Stegostoma tigrinum: one gene and its partner. The protein of the gene in region 1 interacts with the protein of each later gene in a biochemical or structural test. Links are inferred from orthologs where the notes say so. Each region holds a gene or a part of one and is shown on either strand. Other genes may lie near its edges. The genes, in order: myb and nlk2.

The links.
Region 2: of the proteins of myb (region 1) and nlk2, one has a biochemical effect on the other in vitro, tested with the Homo sapiens proteins (2 studies listed by BioGRID, with this or other methods). The link is inferred for Stegostoma tigrinum from reciprocal best matches to the Homo sapiens genes MYB and NLK.

Annotation. Positions count from the first base shown.
Region 1 is NC_081357.1:43,587,419-43,595,824, reverse strand, and holds the start of myb (transcriptional activator Myb), read right to left. Parts: upstream 3,662-8,406; 5' UTR 3,570-3,661; coding exon 3,547-3,569; intron 1-3,546. UniProt on the Homo sapiens protein: Transcriptional activator; DNA-binding protein that specifically recognize the sequence 5'-YAAC[GT]G-3'. Plays an important role in the control of proliferation and differentiation of hematopoietic progenitor cells.
Region 2 is NC_081380.1:37,046,623-37,054,299, forward strand, and holds the start of nlk2 (serine/threonine-protein kinase NLK), read right to left. Parts: upstream 3,359-7,677; 5' UTR 3,026-3,358; coding exon 2,355-3,025; intron 1-2,354. UniProt on the Homo sapiens protein: Serine/threonine-protein kinase that regulates a number of transcription factors with key roles in cell fate determination. Positive effector of the non-canonical Wnt signaling pathway, acting downstream of WNT5A, MAP3K7/TAK1 and HIPK2.

The DNA of each region.
Region 1 (8,406 bases):
CTGGTGCATTTAATGACATTTTAATAGTCAGAAAACGTAAGACATGCTCAAATAGCTAGATAAATATGCTTACAACTAACACTTGTAAAGGAGACCTAATGAATCAGTGAAAATATTCACCTGTATAGGCACAAGAAATTTCCATTAAGCACAATATACCATCATACTGAATAACTTGACCATACATACATCTAGAACACAAATGGTTTAATTGCAGGTGACTTGAGATTTTTGTCCACTTTGAAATGTCAGTCCAAATAAAGATTTGTTACAAATTCTTTCTGCAGTAGACATTTGTAAGACATTCAAAAGTTAATTTATTATAGTAAAACTCTGCTTGTGTTCCCCCCACCCCGGCCAAATGGTTTATCTCATGCTCAACTGAAGCATACAAACCAAGCATGTTACCATTCTACTATTTAGCATGTGTTAACTGGCCTTGGCTGATGCAGCAAAAGGATCAAAGTTGAGCCATGGCTTTTTACATGATAACTGGACAAAGATCTCACTCTTGACTGCAAATAATTACTGTAGATGTGTGTATGGGTATCAGATGAGGACACAATTGGGCTTAAAGATGATACTCTATTATTAAATAGTCTGTCAAGTACACTGTAAAGGTTTGTATGAAAAATGGACTTGAGCAACTCTTCCTAATCCCTATCCCAGAAATGGATTAACAACACAAGGAAAAGGAAGTAGACAAACCTAATCTCAGAATTATTCTTGTATTCGTATTGTTAATGAGTCTGATCAGTGGTAACACCCCAAACATCTTAAGCGACTGCTGCAAACTTGCATCCAATGATAGTCTAAATTCTAATTGCAGGACTCAATACTGCCATGAGTGGAAAGCAAAAATTAATAGTCTAGGACATTCTTTCAAAAAGGGATGCAAACTAAAGGAAGCAGTCACTGCTCATTTGTGCACCCAGTGGGCAGATTCAGACCAAAACTGGATGGGAGGTGGATTGGTATAATGCATGCCATGGGAAAACTAAAGAAGAGGCGGCATTAGCTCAGGTGTCCGCTTTGAACAAAAAAATTAAACAAAAGTTTTAAATGCATTATTTTGCTTCAAAACTTAGAGGTTATTGTGTATTAGAACAGTTAAGAAATTTTATGTATCAATCAACCAAACAGGTTGAATTATTATTTACAGACAAAACAATATTTTAGTCAGTTATTCAATTCACTTTAAAAACAAGCGGAGCACATATTTTTCGTAAACTCCATTTCCCATTGTCTCAACTGTTAGTTGGATTTACTTCACTACGCCCATTCGAAATTCAGTCTGCAGGAGGCATTATTCTAGCAGGTGCATAATTCAAACCTGTTTTTTTCCCCCTCTCTTTACACAACACCCCATCTAGTGGTTTTAGCAAGAACTGACAAATTTCCCCAATAAACAGTCGGTGGGATATCATGTCTCAAATATCAATTCATTGATTCTTGTTTGGTATCACCTAAATTTTAACACCAAGAATCTCAGGCCCTGCCATAATTTTCCCTAATCCCTGACAGAGCAGGTCTTTATCGCAATTTAAGTACACAACCTAATATAACTTATTGCTTGCAAAAGTACTTTCTTTACTCTTTCTAGAAATGTATTTGAACAATTTAAACTCAACACAGATGTGCAGCAAATAAAAACAACTTTGACAGAGACTGAAATATTTGCCGCTCCTAATCCAAATTAAAGGAAGGAATTTCTCTTCCTGTTGGCTGTCAGGATAGTTTTAACCCAAACTTAGCAGAAATACATTCACAGCGCAAAACGTTTTTTTTTGAAAATTTAGCAAATATTGGCATTTCACCCCAGGCGAACAAAGGAATTTACATTGTTGTAGTTGAGATGCTCTTATGAAGTCCTATTTTCCTGATCAAGTGCTTGAGGTTACATCATTCATTTGGTCTACAAGCAGACAGTAAACGATCTTCAAAAACTGAAGTGTCATTCGCCTACTAAATTACGTATTTAAAACTCAACACACTAATGGGGAAATCAGCTATAAATTGATGGTTTTATTCAACCATTCCTACTGGGAATCATTACCGAAAAAATACCAAACTAATCCGTTGTGAAAACCGAATAAAGAGACAAACTTTTTAAACGTCGAATGCATATCGCCGAGTTCATAGTATCGCGATCATGACGGCCCAACATTCAGCAGTGAGATTTTATATAGTTTTGTTAGTGACCCATAAATGCGAGCAAACTATTCACCGGCAGGTCATGAGTTAAAGTGTAATAACTTGAGCCCTTGTCTCTCACTCGTCAAATTCATAATCACTCTTGCACATGGACGAAACAAAAATTCCACTAGTTATAATAAATTAAAAAATAAAGTTCCAGTAATGCCATAACTCCGTGGATTGGTTGGTAGTCCTGAAATTTTGAAATGAGCCGAGTAGTTTCTATTAATAAAGTGAATCGGCCAGTATGGAATTTCCACACGTTCATCGTGCAAAAGGACTTGCATGGTTTCTGGTAGTGCATACTCGGGGTAAGTGTCATTGTTCCCCATTTCATTCACATTTTACCGACGATAATGATTCTGATGCAGTCAGTTTCCTCAGACCACAAACATTAGTCACGCATGAATAGCCAAAAAGGAGAAAACGCTCCAAGCAATTTCTGCCACTGTTACTACGTACAATAATTTTGACAACTTGGATCACAGCCTTCGCCAAATTCAGTTTATCATGACACAACCAGAAACCACCTTATTATGTCGAAAAATTAGGATCACGATCTCGTGTCCGGTAGTTTCAGACAGCTTGCAATAATTTTAAAATCCACGTGTCACTCCGCCAGCTCTTGCACTAACAATAAAATTATGATGTAGTTCATTGACTTGTCTTGGATGCACTTATTTTCTTTTCATGCATGAAAGCATTCCGCTACGTCAATAACATACTTAACTAGAACATGCCTCACTCGTGCGGGGTTCAGTGGATGTTGCAACTGAGAAACTACAATGCTAACATATAAACACGTACAGTCAACTATTTCCTATATGAACAACGTGGTGCAAGATGAGAAATATTATTATTGCTGCTGCAATATTTTACGGCGACACATTGAAACATACCGTTTAAAAGGTGCATCTTCAACCTGTGTATCAATTTTGCAAGATTGTATTGTTCTTCTCGATTTAACAGTAAACAAGTGTTGTTGTCATTTGTCACTTAGAACTTGCGCGCATGAATGGAAGTTCTGCACCTTTTAAATTTGCTTATCCTACAACGTGTCCACATAACTTGAAATACTAAACAGACAAGCTATATATAATTTCCATTTTAACAAGTTTTTCAATTACAGTTGGAAAGCTTGCTGCAGAAAGTCAGCATACTGTTCAAAGATTCGAACCATTCACAATTTAGCTGCATTAAGTATTGGAACTGAACACAGCGTCTCACTCTGCTTAACAAGTCATCTCTCAGCGTGCAAACCTCATAAAATTAAAGTGAAAGTTCTTCCTCTTCCTGCAATAATCTATGTTTTGTTCATTAGGCAGCAACCAAAACGTATAATACAGTTACCTATTCCGTGGCCGCCGAGCCATGAGCCTCTCAGAGTGCGGAAGAAGTGTCGCTGCAAGTGATCAGCCAAACTCACACGAGGAGGAAGCAAATTGAGATTAAAGTGTACGATCTGTAAACACAGATTCCTACAAACAAAGCCCTGGACCCTCCCCTCCCGCCAAATCTCCCGCCCAAACCAAAGACAGGGCAATACGCAGGCGCACTGCTGACCTTGGCGGTCCTCCGTGAAACCCGCCTTTTTCCTGCAATCCCCGCTTAGTCCGGTACTACCCCGCCTCCATCTCTTCCAACCAGGAGTTTTGCAAAGTAAACAACTAGAGATAATGTGCTTTTGTTCTTCATCTGTCAGCTCTCTGGGAGAATCCAGTCCCGGGGTTCCCTGTTGCTAAACTACACAATTACCATATTGCTTCTAAAACAATCAGTTTCTCCCGCAGAAAGTCACACGCAAGGTGGTTGCAACCAAGTAAATTTGTTCAACATTTAGATGATTAGTGAAATGCTGCTGGAGTGACAAATTGGGAAAACGAGGGGCAGGTTATATCCTAGTTACCGTTTCTTAGAAGTCAATAGAAAACTTGACTGGAAAAACATCATTTTAAGAACACATACCTACAGAAAGGCAAGTTACTTTTTTCACGCGACTAGATGACTTTTTTTGAACTGAACAAAAAGTTTGAGAGCTTTTTCCATAGATGGCGCAACCTGCAGTTTTGCAATGAAACCTAAATATGGAGAAATGAGGGTCCTTTGTTCGTAAACGTATCAGTATTAAAACAAAACAGCAAAGCAAATGTGCCCGTTCCTCTTTGAATATTCCAAAATTTATGACAAGGTGACTATTTTCGTGCGGTAGATATAAAGTGTATTCAAACTCATAGATTAAAAGTTGTCAACCGAAGCATATTCTAGATTATGTTTCGCTAATCATTACAATTTAAATATCATTTACGTTGAAACAATAAAATTTTTTGGATGTATCGCCAACAGATGTTTAAGTTTAGCAAAAGTAATTTGGAATTTTGGATCACTGTAATATACTTCCTCTTTCCTGCACACTCCTGACACGTGTGTAATACAACGGGACAATAAACCTATAAGGCAGTTGGTGCTGCTTCAGCACAAGGTTTTAGATTCACGTTTATAGACCGACTGCAGAGTGCTCACGAACTTCAGATCAAAGGAAATGCCAAATGAAAACAACAATGCCCTTAAATAAATACAATTCCCAAGTGTTTTCTCCCTATACTTATCTGCATGATTAACGTTCTATTGCTTAATGTTTAAGTAAACAAAATATAGCGAGGTCTGTAATTTGCTTCGTGTTTATAGCCAAATTCATTTGGATTCGCATTAGTTTTAATTATCAGGAATTGTACATTTTTGATTAATTTAGATCCATTCAAGCAAATTATTTCTGCCAAAATTCACACAAGATCCCTTTTTCACCCCTATGATTATGGCAAATATCTTTTCGAGTTCGCATTTTTGTTACTTCCAATGCAGATGCCTCAGCGCTGCCAAACCTGGTCAATTGGAATATCTTCCGCAATCGTTTCCTATTTCCAATTTTATAGCAACCGGTTGCACTCGCTTGTTTTTGCAAAGTGCCTAAACTTGCTACATGTTTTAGTTATTAGCAACAATTGTATCAGAATGAAACAAAAATCCTCACACCAGGTTTTTGCTTGGAAGATCCCCGGAATTTCAACCACCGTTTGCATTTTTAATAATTTGATGGGCACTATGCTCGCCACCACCCTCCCTATGTTGTTTGTTCGTGCTAATTTTTAAACTTGTATTTCATGCCATCAGTTTGTCATCTTTCTTCCTCTTTTTTGTAGATTAGTTTCCTCATTTCCGTTACCACTGCTTTCCCCTTGTGCTTTTCATTACTCTTTTATGCCAAAATACCCCACTACTCTTTTTGATTATTGGTGATATTTACCCTCGACTTTTTTTTTCTTCAGCTTTCGGCATCTTACCTTTACCTGAATAAACAAACAATCTGGTTATTCTGCATTTTCGTCAGTTGATGCACCTTTCTTGTAACCCACCCCCTTAGGTTTCCCGAGCTATGTCTTTTAGGCAAAAGGACTCTTGAAAAAAAAAATTATATCCAAATTTTATAATTTTTAAAATAAATTAGATGTACAGACAATGTAACCACTGTGACCAGTTGCAGTGTCACATTGTTTTTGACTTTTTTTTTCCAGAATGGATTGCAATAACAGGACTTGGTATCAAAAAATGGTGGTGACACACTCGACAAGCAATACTGCAAGAGCGAAGGTCACTAAAATGTTGGAGTTCCTTGTCAAAAATAGCGATGGGTCTAATGGGCAAGTTGGTGTGTATCATCGGCCAAAGTACTGCTGCATCTCTCATTTCCTTGCAGGTCCTGGTAAAAGAAACAAGTGGCGAAGCTGAAGTTAACTCTTGCTCATTTCCCTCTCTCTTGGACAGATGGTGGTGCCTGGCCTGCTGAGTGGTTTCCAACATTTAATTATTGAAAAGGCAATAATTCCTGTTTTGTTTTCGGTTTGAGTGCAGGTGAGTGTCTGCACCTGGCCCATGTTGAGGAGCTGCAGGTAAGTAAAGATCCGCACGGACACTGGGATGCCAACAATTTCCTCATCACACCCACCAGGGGATATCAGAAAAAATAACACAACAACAAACCTCAACCGCTTAATCTGACCGGAATCAATCTCAACATTTTTAGAAAACTTCAAAATCCACCGCCCACCTGACTGCCTCTTGCATTCCCCCCCCCCCCCACCCCAGGTGACTGAAGGCTTCGAAGGTGACACTTTGCCCCAGCACCTGTCACACCCACATCGCGCCCCCCCCCCTTTCCCAGAGATACCGCGGAGTCGCCGGGAAGGGGTGAGGGGAGGAGAAAGAGCATTTGTTTTTAAAACAGCCCCTAACAGCTCCCGTCCCACCTGCCCGTTCGCGATGAACCGGGAAAGGGCGGAACGCCGCCCCTCGCCCTCACCCTGCTCCGTGGCCACGTGATGCCGCTAACGGTCGCGCTCCTGTCGATTTCACACGTACCCGAAGGAGGTGTCCATTGGGCTGGCCGCAGGCAATCCGCTCACCCGCAGTTGGATGGATGGGGTGCTGCTGGGCGAGCAGGGAGGAGAGTTGTCGTTCCTCTGAAAGAGGCTGGTTGGTGGTAGTGTTCGGGTGGGGGGGGGGGTTGGGGATGGAAGAGTTGGTATGAGAATTTATATCAAATAACAAGGAAAAATAATAAAAAGAACACTGTCGTCTCTCTCTGCGCCCTCAAGAATTGGCTGGTTATTATGTTTTGTTGTTCTGACTCTACATACACACAAACCATACACACACACTGGTCCTATTCACAAAATCTTCTCCACGTCTGGAATCCTCTCGATTCAAATTGCGGCGGGTTCTTCCCCGGGAACGCCCTCGCGCCCGCCCACGGCACGTGCCGCTGCTGCGCCCGCCAGCACAGGCTGGGGTGGGGGAGTTAACTGGTGAGAGGGAAACCTGTGCGTGGGAGGCCGTGTCAACAGTTGGCTGGATCTCGGATGCATGCATTGGAGTGCGGACAGCGTGCATGGCCGATGACTGCGGATGACCGTCGCCTTGGCTGTGGTGGCGCGCCCGGGTCCGCTCACCTGTACGGTGCGCCGCGGCTCGCCGGACCACGTGCGCCTCCAGGCTGGCGCCTTTTGCTCGCTTCGACCGTGGTGCCTGTTTTTGCTTTCCATTCAGCCACGCTAAACGTGAGTCCAGACCCTTGACCTGGAAAGCATCTCTCGACTTTCGGCCGTCAGAGGGAAAATAAATAATAAGTTGGATAAAGGATGGTCTGGCAGTTTAGAAATATGGAACATCACCGGTGCTGCCAACTTTGCCATTTTTGTTAAGAGTTTGCTTTGATAAGGAAAGCAGCTGTTGTCCTTGCTGGAAAATTCTCTTCCCCACCCTGTTATATTACAAAAATTAGGAGACCTGCTTTCAAATGTGAACTGCTACTGCTGTTCTTGATGTTTCCTTTATCGTGAAAAATATATGAAGAACTTATCACAATTGTAGTTAGCACCTTTACATACCAATAATATAGATATTTTCCTGGTAGAGCTTTATATAATTTGTTTTCTATACGATACAAAGGTTATTGTTGAAAAATTTTCAGCTAAAAAGATGCACTTTTTTATTCTCGGAGAATTACATTTTATCTTTCCAAGTTCTTTCTTCAAAATAAAACTAGTAGCTGATCAATAAATCTTGCACAAAACATAAATACCATCATGAACTGGTTGTGCCAACTAGTCAGTTTGTGTGTCGTGTTTCTGTGTAATGTTTAAGTGTAATAGCTAAGTGAACACAAGATTGAAACATAAGGAAGGCCACTTAACCCTTAGCTTACCAACTAGTAGATTCTCGTCACAACATTTAAATTTTTTTTCTTCATCATAGTGTTCAACCTGCCCTTTTGTCCAAGTAGGTTAGCAATTATACCTGCTGAATTGATAAGGGTATAAATTTTGATTGACAAAGTTTATTTGACATGTTCATACAGTTTTCATTAGTGGCCTTTATAAACTAGTGTTTTCCTGTTTAAAATGAAGGCTTTTACACCTAATTTAAAATAGTATACACAGGAATAAAATAGTGGCAAATTTGATGTTCATATCTGATTTGTCAAATATGATAAATTGAACAGGATAAATCCTGAGAGTCTGTTTCCCCTCATAAGAGAGTCTACGATCAGAGGACATTGTCTCAGCATTAAGGGGTGCCAATGTAATACTGAGGTAAGAAGAAATTTCTTTAGAATTCCTTGCCTCAAAGAGCTGTGGAAACAGAGTCCTTGTGTAT
Region 2 (7,677 bases), on another chromosome or scaffold:
CTGGGACACCACTCTCAAGAATCCACTGATACTCAAATCTTCAGTGAAATAAGTGAACAAAAATACAATTTTAAAGATGGGTCAAAACAACCTGTCCTTTTTCTCTTTAGTCAAAGTTAATGCAAGTAGTGTCTGGCAAGATTAATTGAGTAAACACTGATATTTCCCCTCAAGCACTAAAACCAACTACAATTTGTCTCAGCTGCAACAAGACAAGCCAGAAATTAAGTCTTCCTGCTTACACTGCATTACTTGTTGCAATGCTTAGCTATCAGACATCAGGATAGCCCAAAAATATGATTTAAAATATATTTATGCAGCAAGCAATGCAAAATTGAATGCAGAAGGTTGCGATTTACTTTAAGGCTGATGGATCAAGAACTACAAATGTTAATGTGTTGGAAGAACTTTATTCCAATTGATGGGCAGTATTAAGCCAAAAGACGACATGTTGAAAATTGTCTAAAATATCAAACAAACATTTTTTGTAATCTTAGAAGACTAATGTAGTAAAAATTAACACTTGGGTAGGGTGAAATTTCACTGCCTTGCAGTACAAAATTTCACATTCAGCAATCAACCATATAAAACTACAACTGCACTTAGTGCAACATCATTAGATATCCTCTCAAACTTCCTTACATGTTATCATTTCACAAGCAATTTTCCCCAGATCCCATCACCTTTTGTTTTTACTGCATTTTCCAGATTTGCATGAACAAAACAGAATGTTTATCTAAATTATTCACAAGAACAAACGGGAGTTGGCCACTGACCATCAAGCTTCATTTTCCATCTTTTCAATTTGTTTGCACTTTAAAAAAGAACTCAAAGTCATTGACATCTAGTTATTCTATTAACCTAGTAAGTTATATTTGCCACCGTAAAAAGAAACTTATGAAGTCAAATACAATCCATCCAAAAAAATTTAACATTTCATTGTAGTTCAAGGCATTTTAAATTAGGGCTGGGATTTAACCATTTTGAGTTAAAATTCCTTGAATACAAAATTTTGGCTTTCTAGCAAAGCCAAACCATATCATCTAAGTATAAAGTAAATTTCCTCAAATGAACAAAAAGGTCAGCAAAATGATTCATAACGTGATCACACTGCTGTATTTAATGTTTTAGGGAAAAAATAATTAACAGATATGAATAAGAACAGGAATTTAAAATAATCTCTCCAGGTACAGGGTTTAGTGACAATCATAAAAATACACCAGCTGGCAATTTATGCCATCGGTTGAATTACTGCATTTCAACACTTCTACAAACTATTAACCCAATCTGCACGAGTACTAGCTGGTTAGCATGCGTAAGGAATAGCGTTCTGTATGAACTATTGCTGCCATTACAAAAATAATTCCCAGCATCATGGAACTGCATTGACTTTTTGAAATTCTGTAAACTCAAAAACTTGAAGGATATTAATTAGGACAGCAAGTTTTTTAAAAAAGAAAAAAATAACTGAACAGTAATTTCACCCTTACTCCTGAAGGGAATGGAGGAATGATTACACATACACAGTAATGGATTTGTTCCTTCAAACTAAAAACATCATTATCAGTTATAGAATAGCAAATTATACGTATCTTTGCCTAAAAAGTGCAGTGCGTCAAACCAACCACTTTGGCGACAACTAAATTACCACCTAACGTGAAGAAAGACCTTTAAAAAATTCCAAGTCAATTTTTAACACTATTCTTCTTCAGCATTTTTTCCAAATAAGTGGAAAATATAATTTGTTTTCGGCAATTTACCATCGCAAAAGGAACAAGATTTACACAGATAACTACTAAATGTTGTTGGGGAGGGGGGGCGTCATACAGCTATCTTTCTTTTCAGGTTTTTTAAATGTAAAGAATAAGTAGTCTCCTATCAGTTGGGCGTCAAGAGATCTTATAATAACTCAAGGATGAAACGGAAATCTGACCAAGCTGCCTCTCTGATTCGTGTCTTGCAGGAAGCTTTTAAAAAAAGCATCTTAGTGACAAAAGCATCTTTCGTGCAGCACGAAAACACAACCAAATAATGAAGACTAATTTCCGCCACCCGCCAAGCAATGTCACTTCATAAAACATTTAGATTATTGACGGTGCAGTACGCCCTATGAGAACCGAGCTCACCTAACCCACAGACATTTGGGGAAGCAAAACATTTTGAAACTCCCTACAAGTTCAACATTGTCAGCGCATTTGAGGAAACACCCAAACTCCACAAAGTTGATAAGCTGTTTATCTGAAGTAAAAGTAATTGGCAAAAAATTGCGACTTTGCTGAAAAACTTATTATTTGAAAATATTATTTTCAACCTGTTAAAACGCTTGGCCAACAAGTCTTGCTCAGGAAACCTACCAGACTACTCCGAAGGCTCCATATCCGATGGGTCTGTCGGGCTCGATATCCAGCTGATGTGCCTTGGCAGCGGCCGCGGCGGCGGCGTGAATCTGCACCGAGGCGGCGGCGGCGGCCGGCGCTGGGGACGGGAAATACGGCGCCTGGCCTGTGTTCAGCATCGCCGCCGCCGCCGCCGCTGCTGCCGCCGTGGCGGCGGCTGAGGCGGCGGCAGACGACGACGATGAAGAGGATGAGGACGACGAGACGGCGGCCGAGCTAGCGGCGACGGCGGCGGCAGCGGCAGCAGCGGCGGCGGCGGCCGGGTGATGGTGATGCTGGACCGGGTGTACCGCCGTGCCGATACCGCCACCTCCTCCGGCAGCAGCGACACCACCACCACCGCCGCCGCCAGTCGCAGCGGCAGCGGCGGTGGCAGTAGCCCCGGTGTGTATTTGATGGTGGTGATGATGTGGTGGCGGCGGCGGCGGCGGTGGATGTTGGTGATGGCTGTTGCTGCTGCTGCTGCCGCTGTTGTTGTGGTGATGATGGTTGTTGTGATGGTGGTGGTGGTGATGGTGGTGGTGGTGATGATGATGGGCGGCCCCGGCGCCGTTATAAGCCATCAGCTTGGCGACGCTTTGGCGCTGCTGCTGGCTCGCCGCCGCCGCCGTGGTGCCGCACAGCGCCATGACCAACGGCCGTACCGCGCGCCCAGCCCGCGCTCCACCGGCCGCCGCCGCCTCGCCGCTCGAGCTCCGCCTCGGCCGCACTCTCCTCGCTCCGTCCTTGCTAAACCATCTTCCAGCAAATTCCACACCCGGCTTTCCTCAGGAAATTCAATAATCCGGATTTTCAACTCCTCGGAGAGAGAGGAAAAAAAAATTCTTCAAAAAGACTTTGGCTTTCACTTCGCACACATTTTTTCTGAGGGGAAACTCCTTCAGTTTTCCTCGGCAAACATCATCGGAAGCATTGTAAAGCTTATTTTTGGCTTTTCTTTAAATATATAAAAAAATAAAATTTGTCCCCCCACCCCCCCCCCCCCAAAGACACCAAGAAGAGAGCAACTAAACACGAAACCCTCGAAAGCCGAGGAGTCCCACCCCCCCCCCGCACTGAATACTCCCTCCCCTCTCGCTCGGAAGCCCAGCCGCGCGCATCCCAACATGATCGTCTGGAGCTTAGCCCGCCTGCTCCACAGACCATCCCCGACCGCTGCTTGATTGACACCATCTCTGTCGAATGGAAATGCACGCTTGCACCACGGAACTGCTGCGTCCAGGTGCCGAGCGTGCTGCAAGGGCGGGTCGCCCCGTACTGCAAGCAAGTTTCGTTGAGCGAACACAAAGGACACGTGATCTACATCTTCTCCCACAAAGCGCAGCGATGCCAGAAAGAGGTCAACTCTTGTATTGATGGGACCCCAACTGGTTAATTGAGAGAATCACACAGAGCGCTAGTGTATCTTATCCTGGGGCTTTAAACCGTTCAAGAGAATATGCTACCTACCCCTCACAATGGAATTCAAAAATAAACTTTTAACTGTGTTTTTAAAAGTTCACCTGTTAAGCACCCTTTCTGTATAATGCATGAAATAATGTAATAAGTCCTGTGCAGATAGATTATCTCCAGTTCTCTTTAGTTTACCATGAAGGTCGAATATGGTAATATTGAAAACTGTGATAACTTGAGCCATTTCTAACCTCTCACTTGTAATAATGCCAAAAGTTATATTTTGAATTAAGCAAAATCTGTGTTTTAATGCTTAGTTACTTGAGACTGATTTTTAATAACTATTGAAGAGAGACATTGGTTACCTAATCGACACAGTTCTACTTAGCTCAGTTTCCAGGTCAGCTGCCCACTTGCATATGTTACTGTACCATGTATGGCCTGGGAAAAGTGGGTCAGGATACAGATGGGCAGAAACATGTATTTGTAATGTTCAGCATGTCTTCATGCAAAATGACAGCCACATCAGCATCATAGGAGAGACTTGCTTTTGTAAGTTAATGTGTGCTTTTGAATTTGTTAGATTGCTAATTGTATTACCACCACATTTATAATTGTGGCAAAATGCAAAATTAAGAACTTTACCCTATTTATTTCTCAACTGTGTAGTAATCTCAATTGTATAATCCACAGACACAGTTTAAAATCTCTCGTGATAATTTAGTTGGAAAGAAATGGTTAAAATTCAGTTTTTTTTTCCACTTATTGTTACATCAATGAAAAATTACCTTTTGAAACTGAAGGCCGGAATAAGGTCCCACTTGTATCAGACATTATACTCAGTACAGACAAAATTTTGAATACTACACTTTCAAGATGAAAATTTCCAAAGAAGCATGTCTGTTGTCAATACATTATTGCAAAAGCAATTTTCCTTTCAGTAAGATCTTGCAGCAATAGAAAATGGGTTACATTGTGATCTGAGTACACAAAGAAATATAATTCTTTGATGAATGATACCTTACATTCATAATAAATAAGAAGGATGATCAGTGTCGTAGAGTTACTAACTGTCATCTCATAATGACAACATATCCAACTAAAAAGCGTTTGACAAAACTTTTTCTATCTCTTCAGGAAAGTGCAAATTGTCACTTGGACACAACACTATCATGATAAAAATGGGTGTACTGGTTTGCTAAACACTGCATTGTGAAAGCAGTGTCCCTTTAATAAGGGAAACAAAAGTAAATGGAATTTGGCTGTTTCCACCACCCCCCACCCGCGCCCCCCCCACCCTCCACCATCCTGTGACATATGGAACCAATTTACCATCATAACAATCATTGTGCTTTGATTGATACATCAATTCTAAAATGGGAGTTTGTGAAAATGATGTAAAAACTACTTACAAATATAAATTATTTTTCTTTGTGTGACAGCTCCTCACGACGGTGATAACTGGTTCCCTAAATTATGTCAGTTAGTAAAGTTCTTATATTATAAATTTTCTTTATTAACCTGGGAAGTGTGAGGTAAGTTGTACTTGAATACCAGTTATGCTTTTTTAATCACTAATCATTCTGTTATGCATTTATGTTTCATTCTATTCAATCCAATTGTTTCATCCTGAAGATACATACACCATTAGAATATTAAGTTGCAAAGCTAGGATAGGTGGCCAGAAGAGGTCATCAGTGAATATTAGCTTTGGCAATTATTGATGAAGCACCCAGCCATCCAAAGTTATTTGAGCCCAACTGTTCAGACCTGAATGATACAGATTGTGTACCACCATCCTACTGCTGAATTTTGAAGACTTCTAATAAAATATATTTGTTTGTTTAAATGTGTGCACACTTTAGGATGCTCCCTTTCAAAGACAAAATAGTTGTTGACTTAATACAAAATCTAAAGTTTGAAATAAATTTATATAGTGGTGTCAGGCATTTGGTAAAATCTAATATAATATCTGCCTGCACAACTGCTTTTACAAAAGGAAACAATTTGCATCTTTATTCCAAACACTGGGGGTAGCTCTGCGATTAAGAACTGAACATACACCACAAGATCATTTGGCAACAAAACATTTGCAAGAAGCATCTGCTAAATGTGAGAAGTTTGAAAGGTGGCACTTAGTGTAATGTACTTCCTAATTGCAGAGAGCAATGTGTGGATCTGATTATACTAAGTGATTTGCTCAGAGGGTGAGGGTAGGCTTTTAGATTTCAATGGGGGAAAAGCCACTGAAGGGATCCTCCAGATCACTGTCATTTTTTTCCTGTTTAGAGAGGAGATAATGACCTGTCATGGTGTTAATTTTTGAAGCAAGGGAAGGAAAAATAGGTTTTCATAAAAAATATTTGTCAATTTATTGAAGAAACAAAACCGGTTTGTAAGATATGGCACCTATAATTTAAGGATAGAAACTTGGCTTTTGAAAATGATCAACGTAATAATGAGACAGACTACATATTAAATTCACAAAAAAATCTGTTATTTCCGAAGTCAATGAGTTGACACAAAAATAAGCATTACTTAGGCATGCGATTCTTTATAAAAGAAAATCAAGCTGGTGAATAGGTATAGCTATTGATGCTCAACTGACTGCAAATCCATGGTGATGCTTAAGCTATTAATTTGGAACAACAAAACACAAACAGTAATGTTAAAAATTAAGTGAGCTACCTGTTTTTTTCTGCAGATAGCCATACAATTATTAGACAGATATGTTAACTTCCTAATTCAGCACAGATTTGTTAAATAAATAATTCTTCCAAAAAAATTGAGATACAATTGTCAGCAGTAATTTTACAATATATGGCATTTACAGGAAATTCTTTTAGAAAAATAAATCTAGGCTGAATTAAGTTGGTCAGTTCTTAACAGACTGGTGGTAAATTGGAAGAATTATTGTTGGTACCTTCTAGTTGCATTGGGGAAGAACCATCTCTGCTGTTCAACACAACAGAGTAGTTTCACATCAAATTAATCCTCTACCCAAATTCCTGAAAGAGTTTAAGCAATGTTACTATTTGAAAATGGCATTAGTTTTCAAACTTTTTTTTACAGAACATTGATTACAGCTCCAGGTAGTATTCACACTGTTTTATCTTCTTTACTCATATTCATTCAGATTTACTCTCAGTTCAGAGTGACAAACTGATATCCTACATTCACATCTCTATGAAATAAATTAAATGAAGCATGTCATTCAATTTGGCAACCAAGGTGTAGCATGCAGTATCAAAAAAATTGTCTCTCTGGGTAGCCACAGAAAGTATTACAAACCTCAACATTATTATCAAGTAGGAATCAATACTCTCTGCTAGAATGCTACCATTCCATGATATCTTACATTGGATGATAAGGATATTATCATTTTCCACGAATAAATCTCATTTGTTTCACAGGTTATATCCTAATTTAAGACTCAATATTGTGATTCTTGATCCACCTACTCAGGAAGTGTTGTCAAATCGTTTTCCTGTTCCCTTTATCATGTTTTTGTATCTATAGTGTACCATCCAGATTGGAAAACAGCAAATGTGAGACCACTATATAAGAAAGGAGGTAGACAAAAGGTGGGTAACTATAGGTCTGTTAGCTTAACTTCTGTAGTGGGGAAAATGCTTGAATGTATCTTTGAGGAAGAAATAGCGAGACATCTGGATAGAAATTGTCCAATGAGGCAGGCACAGCATGGATTCATGAAAGGCACATCATATTCAACTAATTTGCTCGAATTCTTTGAGGACATTATGAGTGTGATGGACAATGGGAAACCGGTGGATGTGGTGCATCTGGATTTCCAGAAGGTATTTGACAAGGTACTGCGTAAAAAGCTGCTGCATAAGATAAAAGTGCATAGCATTGCGCATAATGTATT